2 linked regions of the Sus scrofa genome follow. The protein of the gene in region 2 purifies or fractionates together with the protein of the main gene of each other region. This does not show direct contact. Links are inferred from orthologs where the notes say so. Each region holds a gene or a part of one and is shown on either strand. Other genes may lie near its edges.

Region 1 (4,492 bases), on a different chromosome or scaffold from region 2:
CACTATGTAATTAATAATTAATAAATAACTTTTCTCCCCAAATCTGAACTGTGTGTGCATACGCTTCCACAATCTATTCCAACAACTGAGAAGCTCAAAGGGAAGTCAGAACAGGAAAGGTGGAGTAGAAGGTATTAATCACTGGTGACTTTCCTATCATTCCCTTCCCTCGGGTATCATGTACAGAGGCTCTGAGGCTCAAACCAAGCTACACCTCTGGATATCATCAGAGAAATGAAGGAATGCACCATATCATGAGTTTTCCATCCTTCTCTACTCAGGAATTGAAAACATCTCAGTAACAAAACAACTCTCAGTATCTGAAAACACACCCTTTCGGATGCTTGCTTGGAACTTTGTTTCCTGGGAAGGGCCAGCAATGTAGGAATTGTACTGTAAAGGGTGAGGAATTGAGTGTTTGGGGCAGCTGTGGTGATCAACTATAAAAGGTAGTAGAAAAATGGGAACATGTTTAAACAGTGAAGAGAGTAGAATTAAAGCATTATCAAAGCATTTTCCAAGCAAAGGACGGGTGACAACCACACCCTGACTTGGAGAACTACTAAGCACAACACAAACATCTTGCCACGACAAAATGTTTTTCTACCATTGCCATCGTTCTGGCAACTCGGCCTACCTAGAAGAATTACTCTTTCCCTGAAGTATTTTCTACCTAAGTGGCTTATTTCTATTTTAGGGACAGGGCTAATTTAATTAAATCTCTATTACTACAGGATTTTATTTTCAAGAATCCTTGTTCAAAAGTTAGGCTTTAGGAAAAATTTTCATAATCTACTCTTCAAATTGCCTCTTCATTTTAGACTAAATTCAAATGTGCCTAATTTTCAGAGGGTGAGATTAAGCATCTTCTTATTACTAACTTGGTTTGGAAGGCAGAAGAAATTAAACCCACCTCCAAATGCAACAATGTCTATTTTTCCAAGTTTATAGTGCTCCTCTTTGTACTCTGGGAGTACAGGCAACCTTAGGATAAGGATGAGGTTGCTCAAGGAGGGCTTTTGATAAACTTTATGGGAGATGCTCTGTAAACATCTGGAGGGCTAATCAGTAGGATACTGTGGTCGATCCGCTGCTAGGAACTCAAAAGTTGAATTTCCAAATTCTGTACTGATTTACTCCTGGACATGTCATTAGGTCTTTACTCATTTCATTACGTGGCTTCCTCTGCGCTCCCCTACCCGCTCCCCACCCCCGGATTCTTAGGAAATTTCGAGAACTTACTGAAGAGTTACAAGTGTCATTTAGACACATTAATTTCCAAGGTACTCAGGTTTCCTCGTCATGGCTTACACACTAGGATTCAACAGGTTTGGAAAAAAAGAAAAAGAAAAAAAGGGCACTGCGGATGGCGGTGAGAGAAAAGGGAAATTAGATTGACACATTTAATTCAATTAATCATTTGCTATTCTTTTACCATTCGGCATGATGTCCATCTCCTTCAAACCCACCTCCACCGCTCCCACCCCTTCCCTTCCAGTGGCGGAACTCAGACCTGCACTGGGTTTAACTTTTAAGCATTTGAGGGAAATATCCGCAAACCTTTCCAAAACCTGGAGGCCGGGGCAGCCCAGGAGCCGGGGCGAGCCAGGCGGATGCTAAAATGGCAGGAGGCACCCCGCGCCCGCCCGGCCCCAGGCCCCCGTCCTCCTTCCCCAAAGCTTTCATTTTTATGTGCTTTTGAGCACTCTCTGGTGCAAATACTTCAAACTGTAGGGTCACAGCAAGAATTTAAACTAATTACTTCAGTCCCTGGAATTAGAACAGACAAAATCCTTACCGGGCACGAAAATGCATGGCTGCATTTCAGGCTAAAAGAATGTGGGTTACTCACAAGAGCATGTAAGAAATTGAACCTTTAAAAATGACAAATCGTCTTTATCTTTGCCTCCTGGCAGCACCCTGGCGGCTCAAACTCAAAAAAGTTGCCCCAGAGCTCTTTAGTGTGTGGCAGGTTCGGACAAGCAGAAGGTGGTGGCAGTGTGTTTGTGTGTGTGTGTGTGTGCGCGCTCGCGCGCGTGTGTGTGTGTCGGGGTTGGGGGGGGGGCGGTAGCTCCCTCTAAGGCGCTGTCTTAAGAAATTTCGTTTCATATTCTCTCTAGGAGCCCCTGTCTTAGGAGACCGTTTTGAAAATGCACCCTGACATGCACTCTTTTCTAAACTTCTGTTCTCGCCCTAACTTAACGCTTTGTAAGTAACGAGCAGGCAGGCATTCAAGAGATTTCACCTCCTGAATTGCCAACGTGGTCGAGTCAAAGGTGGCTTCCCTGAGGGTCTCAAGATTTTTCCCTAGTGGCGGCTAACACAAAGTTAACTCTTTACTGTTGCTTTAAGAACCTCAGCATTACAACCCGTATTTTTACACCTTTTTGTTTACCGGGGGAAATTCTACGAAGAGACCACGTGGAAGTCAAGTAACCGCAAGGTCTTAACAAAGCACTTTGTTAAGAAGTCTGCTTTTCAAGGCTAGAGAACATCAATCAAGATTTCCATATGAAAAAGCACAAAGCGTAGAATTCTATAGCAAGCACTCTAGGCATCTTTGCACTTTGATTTTTTTCGTTGTAGCCAGTCAAACCCCCAACCTAGGCCCCCCAAACCACACCCCACCCCAAAAGTTACAAAGCGTCTAGACTATTACTAATTACCAAAAAAAGTGAAATTCTACTCTAAAATGAGGAACCAACCAAATATCCAGAAAGGTATGAATCTTATCTACCTGTTGCATTATTAAAAGATAACTTTTTAACAGTCAAAAAATAAATACCGTAAGTTCCATTTTAACTTTAAAACTAGACATTTCAAGTTCATCATTCCCTTTATATCATATCAAAGCTACATTTAACACTTTAAAAAACTTTAGCAAAGTTTTAATTGTAGAAAAAGAAAGAAATAGGTAAAGTCCTTTTTGAAAACTTACTCTTTCCCTTAAAAGAAGTGAAGTAGGCACGCCTCAGAGGATGAAGTAAAATGAAAAAGCAAGTTCAGGCACTCAGACCTGTCTATTTAAAGTTTAAAAGTCTGCTGCTGTTTGGTACTTTCCTCACTCCTTCCCCCTAATGAAAGAAAAGTGCTGATACCTCGTAAAAGCTTTTTTCTTACTTGGAGCACTGAGCTTTTAAAAGTTTCAAGCCACTGACTCAACAAGGAGGAGGGGCTAGGAGAAAGGGGTGGGGAAGAGGAAAGGCGGGCGGGAGAGTGGCGAGGAGGCCGGCAGCCGAGAGGGGTGGGGCGGGCGAAGAGGCAGAGGAGTAGCTAGGTCCAGATGAAGTCCAACTTTAAAACTGCTGACGAGAGACATGAAATGGCATTAGAGACCTGAATGCCATTACTTGTAGTTACTTCTTACAGTAACAATTACGGGTTTTAGTTAGTGCTTTTTTCACCCAAAGTCCAGGGATAATAAAAAGTAATGTATTTTATATTATTACTACCTTTTCTAAGATTTTATTTCCTGTAATATATGTATATATTACACTAAATTAAAGTGGTGGAAAAGTGTACAGCCAGGGCAAACTTCCTATTGGCCAAGGTGTGTGTAAAGGTGGGTGTGAGTGAGTTATTTGATGAGCTAATTCCTCCCCTCTTAGTTTAAAGGGACAATTAACAAAGGAAATGGAGATGGGATTGAGAAATTTGAAAAACGAACATTTTAGGATGGTATGCCCATCCCAAATCCACCTCTCAACTCCTTGACTGCTTTAAATTTCATTCTTTCCCACAGTTTTGCAAAAAATATATATATTTATATTCATAACTGTATTATAATACTTTTTGACTGTTAAATCTTCCTATCTGACCTCTACCAAATCTCTGGGGAACTGAAAATTTATAATATCCTAGCCCCATTCATGCCAAAAATGAACTCTCTTTTGTAGTGAAATGTCAGGATATTTTTTATGGAAAATTCAAATGTTAAGGCCCGAAACTCTCAGCTTTCCTTGAGACCATCTCTCTCCTTAAAACCCACTGGAGAGTTTTCTGCTGCTGACCACAGAGATCTGGGTATAGTTTTTATGTGCTTTTCCACCACTTCCAGGGCCCTCCCTCTTCAACAGTCTGCACTAGGGTTTATAACAGCCTGAGTCATGTGTCCTCAGTCTCAGAGTGGCCGGGTCCTTTGAGGTCTGTTCAGAGGCTACACTAGAGGGCTGTGGTAGGAGAGTTCCTCATAAACTGGCTTCAGTGATGCTCCTGGGGTTGGGCAGGGAACTCTCTTGGGCATTATTCTCTGGAAATAAAGCAAACTCATCCAGCGGGGATACTCCTTACTAATACAAATACTAGGAGGAAAAAAAAAAAACAAGTAGGATAGGAAGTATTTTCTGATAGATACCTTTGCCTAAATTTCATTTCATTGAAATGACTAATAAGGCACTTTTTGAAAGGTTGTAGTTTTAATACACAATTTTGCTCTTTCATTTGCTGGCTATTCTGTTTCTAAGGGTACATTTTTCTTTATGTTAAGGAAGAG
Region 2 (3,810 bases):
TGACAAGTAACGGCCCCAACACGCTCCCCTCATGCCAGGTCCATACCTGAGCAGCAAAGTCAGGGTTCTGGGCAAGTGTCTGCATCATGCTGCGCATGTAGGGGGCCGATATCACGTTCTGCATCAGCTGGGGGTTCTCAGAGATCTGCTGGAGGAGGGCCTGCATTTCTGGGCTGTTGAACATCCCTAGGACAAGAAGGAGGAAACCAATAAAACAAGAGAAAAGGGGTCCAGGTGGAAACCAGATGCCTCACTTCATCTACCTCACTTCAGACACTGAGTGGTTACAAAACACAGAAAGGCAATGGTGAAACGGGCACCCAAGTAGAGGGGCAGGGGTCCAAGTCTCTCTTGACTCCAATGTCACCTCACCCTGCTTTGGCCTGGCTCCTTCCACACCTACTTTCCTAAGGACAGGCCAGTTGCAAACTGGGTCTGATTCATGCCCCTCTGGACTGTTCCTGCCACAGGTTCAGATGATGTCAGAATTGAAAGGATCTGACGAAAGATCACCTAGACCGATGATTTTCAAATTTGTCTTAGCAGCAGAGACCCTGTCCTCAAACCAAGTCTCTCTTGGAAACCAAGTATGTCAGTGGTCTGGTTGGAGCTGGGGCAAGAGGCCTGGAGCCTTTCCCATTTGGTCTTCTCTCATCCTGGAGATAGTTCAGGCCCCTCAGGACTCAGAAGTACAATTTTAAAACCATGCATTAGGTTCAAATCCCTTATTTAGAAAATAAGCACACAGAGAGGAAGAAACTTTCCCAATCAAGACGTCTCTCATGGTACAGAGAAATCAAGGCATCTACCACACATCCTTAGGGCCATAGGTATGTATAGTCATAGTCCAGATTAAACAGGGCATCTCCCAGGGTTGAGCAGTGCACAACCTGCACTTCGGTACGAGGCAGCTCTGCATGTCCCTCTCCCCCAGCCTCACATCTACCTGTCCCGATTCCTCTCCCACACACCCCCTTCCCAATCTGACCCACTTACAATGGAGAGTACCAGTGGTGTTGAAACAGCTTATGAGGTGGGGCCTACTTTATTCATGAGCCATTACTGAGGTTACTTCTAGGGACAGAAGGACGGGGTCAGAACCAACCCTCACCCTCTGAGGGGTGGAGCCACCACTCCAGGCTGCAGACCACCCCCCACCCCACCCTGTGGCTTCAATACAGTCTCACCTCTGTCTTCGATATTCTGGAGCAGTATGAACCCCATTCAGTCCTGGGACAGAGGGACTGCCCTGGTGACCCCACTAAGCTCCTTCCAACCTAGGACATACCTGACCCCAGGCTAGCCGCATTGATCCCAAAGGGGTTCGAGACTGTCGGGTGCACCTGGCTGGTCCCCGATCCTCCGGTGCCCTCCCCACCGGACCCGGGGGCCTGGGAGGTGGGGGGCGAGGGGCTCCAGGGGTTAGGGAGGGGCTCTCGATTCTCAGTCCGCAGAGGCTGGGAGGATGAGCTGTCGGAGTTCCCGGCCAGGGAAGAGAAGGGATTGTTGCCAAACTGGGAGGAGGGAAAGGTTTTGGGTTAAGGACTGAAACAAATCAGGGATAAGGGCTAGGCCCTTTCTTTCCTCTCACCTAATAGCCTCCCCTACCCCAGGAAAGGGAGAGAGATCTAAGACCTTGTAGTCCTCAGGTCAATTTCTGACCCCACGATAGGCAGCTTCACCCTTGTCCTGCAGAGTGGGAGCTGGCTGATGCTAATGACTGGATAACTGAACCCCTCAGATACCTGGAAAGGGCCCATCTCTCCTGCTGGCTCTGAATATTTGGTTTCTAACCTCCTCTATGCTCTCCAGTGCTTTACACATACCCTTCCTGTTGTGTCATGAGATATTTGTTTTCCTTGGTTCTTAAGAGGCAGAGACAACGCCAGACTCACCTTTGGACCCCTGGCCCCTGACACTAGTAGGTGCTCAATAAGTAATGACTGGCTTGATGGGACCTGGCTCTCTACTCCAACCCTGATTTGTCTCCAGCTCTCCCTTTTCCAGCCACCTTGGTCCAAGACTAACTGCAGAACCCTCTCCCTCACCCCCAGGTCCTCCATGCAGCATTCTGTCCATCCAGACACACAATGGAGCCCCTTAATGTGACACATATCTGGCTGAACCCACCTCCGTAGGTCTTCTCCTCCTTCTGTTGCTTCCTCCATGTAATCTCCTCTTTCCCCAACCCTCCCTGCCTATCTCCTCAGCCTGTCTGCTTCAGTGAAACAGTCCCCTCAGCACCAGGCCCTGCACCGTGGTACCCAGGATCATCTCAGGGTCTGTACCCGCTGTATGGTGGGCTGCCCAAGCAGCACCTGAACCTCCCTCCTCTGGGCCTACCAGCACCCAGGAAACAGCTCAGTCCAAGGTGGGTGCTGGCTGAGGGAGTCCCAGACCGCATTCCCTTGCTCAGCTTCCCTCTCCTGAGTTCCTGGGTGGTCCTGACCCAAGCAGGGGGTGCCTGAGCAGCCTCGGCCCCTCCCTGCCATGGAGTTTCACATCCAGTCTTTTCTTTCTTTTTTTTTTTTTTGCTTTGCTTTTTAGGGCCTCACCTGTGGCACATGGAGGTTCCCAGGCTAGGGGTCGAATCAGAGCTGTTGCTGCCAGCCTACGCCACAGCCACAGCAATGCCAGATCCAAGCTGAGCCTGCGACCTACACCACAGCTCAGGGAAACACCCGATCCTTAACCCACTGAGCAAGACCAGGGATTGAACCCACAACCTCATGGTTCCTAGTCAGATTCATTTCCACTGCACCACGATGGGAACTCCCCAGGCACGTTTCCTGTTTATCCGAAGTGGGTCATAGGGACCAGGGCTGATGAAGGACTCTCCTGCTCTGAGCTGCAGTTCCTTCGCCTTAGCAGATGCTTGTTCAGATAACAGGGCTTGCAGGCTAGGGTTTATGCACCAGTTTCGGTCTTTGTCAACATTTCAGATTTCCTGTTCTGGTAACTTGCCTAGCACCCAACCCTACCTAGTTCTGGGTCCTGCTTTGCTCTTCTTGGTTCACCCTAAGGATTGAACCTCTTTCCCTGAATTCCCTAAAGTGATAACGGCTGCCATTTATTGAGCACCTACTATGTGCCTGAATCAATATCCCTTTTTTTGTTTGTTTTTTTAGGGCCAAATGTGTGGCATATGGAAGTTCCTAGGCTAGGGGTCAAATCGGAGCTATAGTTGCAGGCCTACAACAGCCACAATGACGAAGGAGCTGAGCCACGTCTGCAACCTGCATCACAGCTCACACCAATGCTGGATCCTTAACCCACTGAGCAAGGCCAGGGATTGAACCCACATCCTCAAGGTTACTGGTTGGGTTTGTTACCACTGAGCCACAACGTAAACGCCCTACAACATCCTCAAAGTGTGATCCTAGGACACAAATAGTCTCAAAGTGTGGCCCTAGGACCCCTGCAAGGTTTAAAAGCCATTTTTTATAATCCTAAAATGTGATTTGCCTTTTTCACTCTCATTCTCTGGAGTGGAGTTTTCCAAAGCCTACATAATAGGTGACATTGCAACACAACGAATGAAGAAGCAGATCTGAGCATCCAGCAGTCTTTTTTTTTTTTTTTTTTTTTTTTTTTTTTTTTTTTTTTTGTACGTTTACGGCCATACCTGAGGCATTTGGAAAATCCCAGGCTAGGGGTTGAGTCAGATCTGTAGCTACCGGCCTACACCAGAGCCATAGCACTTGGGATCTGAGCCACATCTGTGACCTACACCATAGCTCACGGCAACGCTGGATCCTTAACCCCCTGAGCAAGGCCAGGGATGGAACCCACATCCTCATGGATACTAGT

What was found.
Region 1: the proteins of UBQLN4 (region 2) and GJA1 purify together in Homo sapiens (affinity purification with western blotting; 3 studies listed by BioGRID). This does not show direct contact. The link is inferred for Sus scrofa from reciprocal best matches to the Homo sapiens genes UBQLN4 and GJA1.

Annotation. Positions count from the first base shown.
Region 1 is NC_010443.5:40,999,027-41,003,518, forward strand, and holds the start of GJA1 (gap junction alpha-1 protein), read right to left. Parts: upstream 3,104-4,492; 5' UTR 2,939-3,103; intron 1-2,938. UniProt on the Homo sapiens protein: Gap junction protein that acts as a regulator of bladder capacity. A gap junction consists of a cluster of closely packed pairs of transmembrane channels, the connexons, through which materials of low MW diffuse from one cell to a neighboring cell.
Region 2 is NC_010446.5:93,986,143-93,989,952, reverse strand, and holds part of UBQLN4 (ubiquilin-4), read right to left. Parts: intron 1,515-3,810; coding exon 1,289-1,514; intron 187-1,288; coding exon 47-186; intron 1-46. UniProt on the Homo sapiens protein: Regulator of protein degradation that mediates the proteasomal targeting of misfolded, mislocalized or accumulated proteins.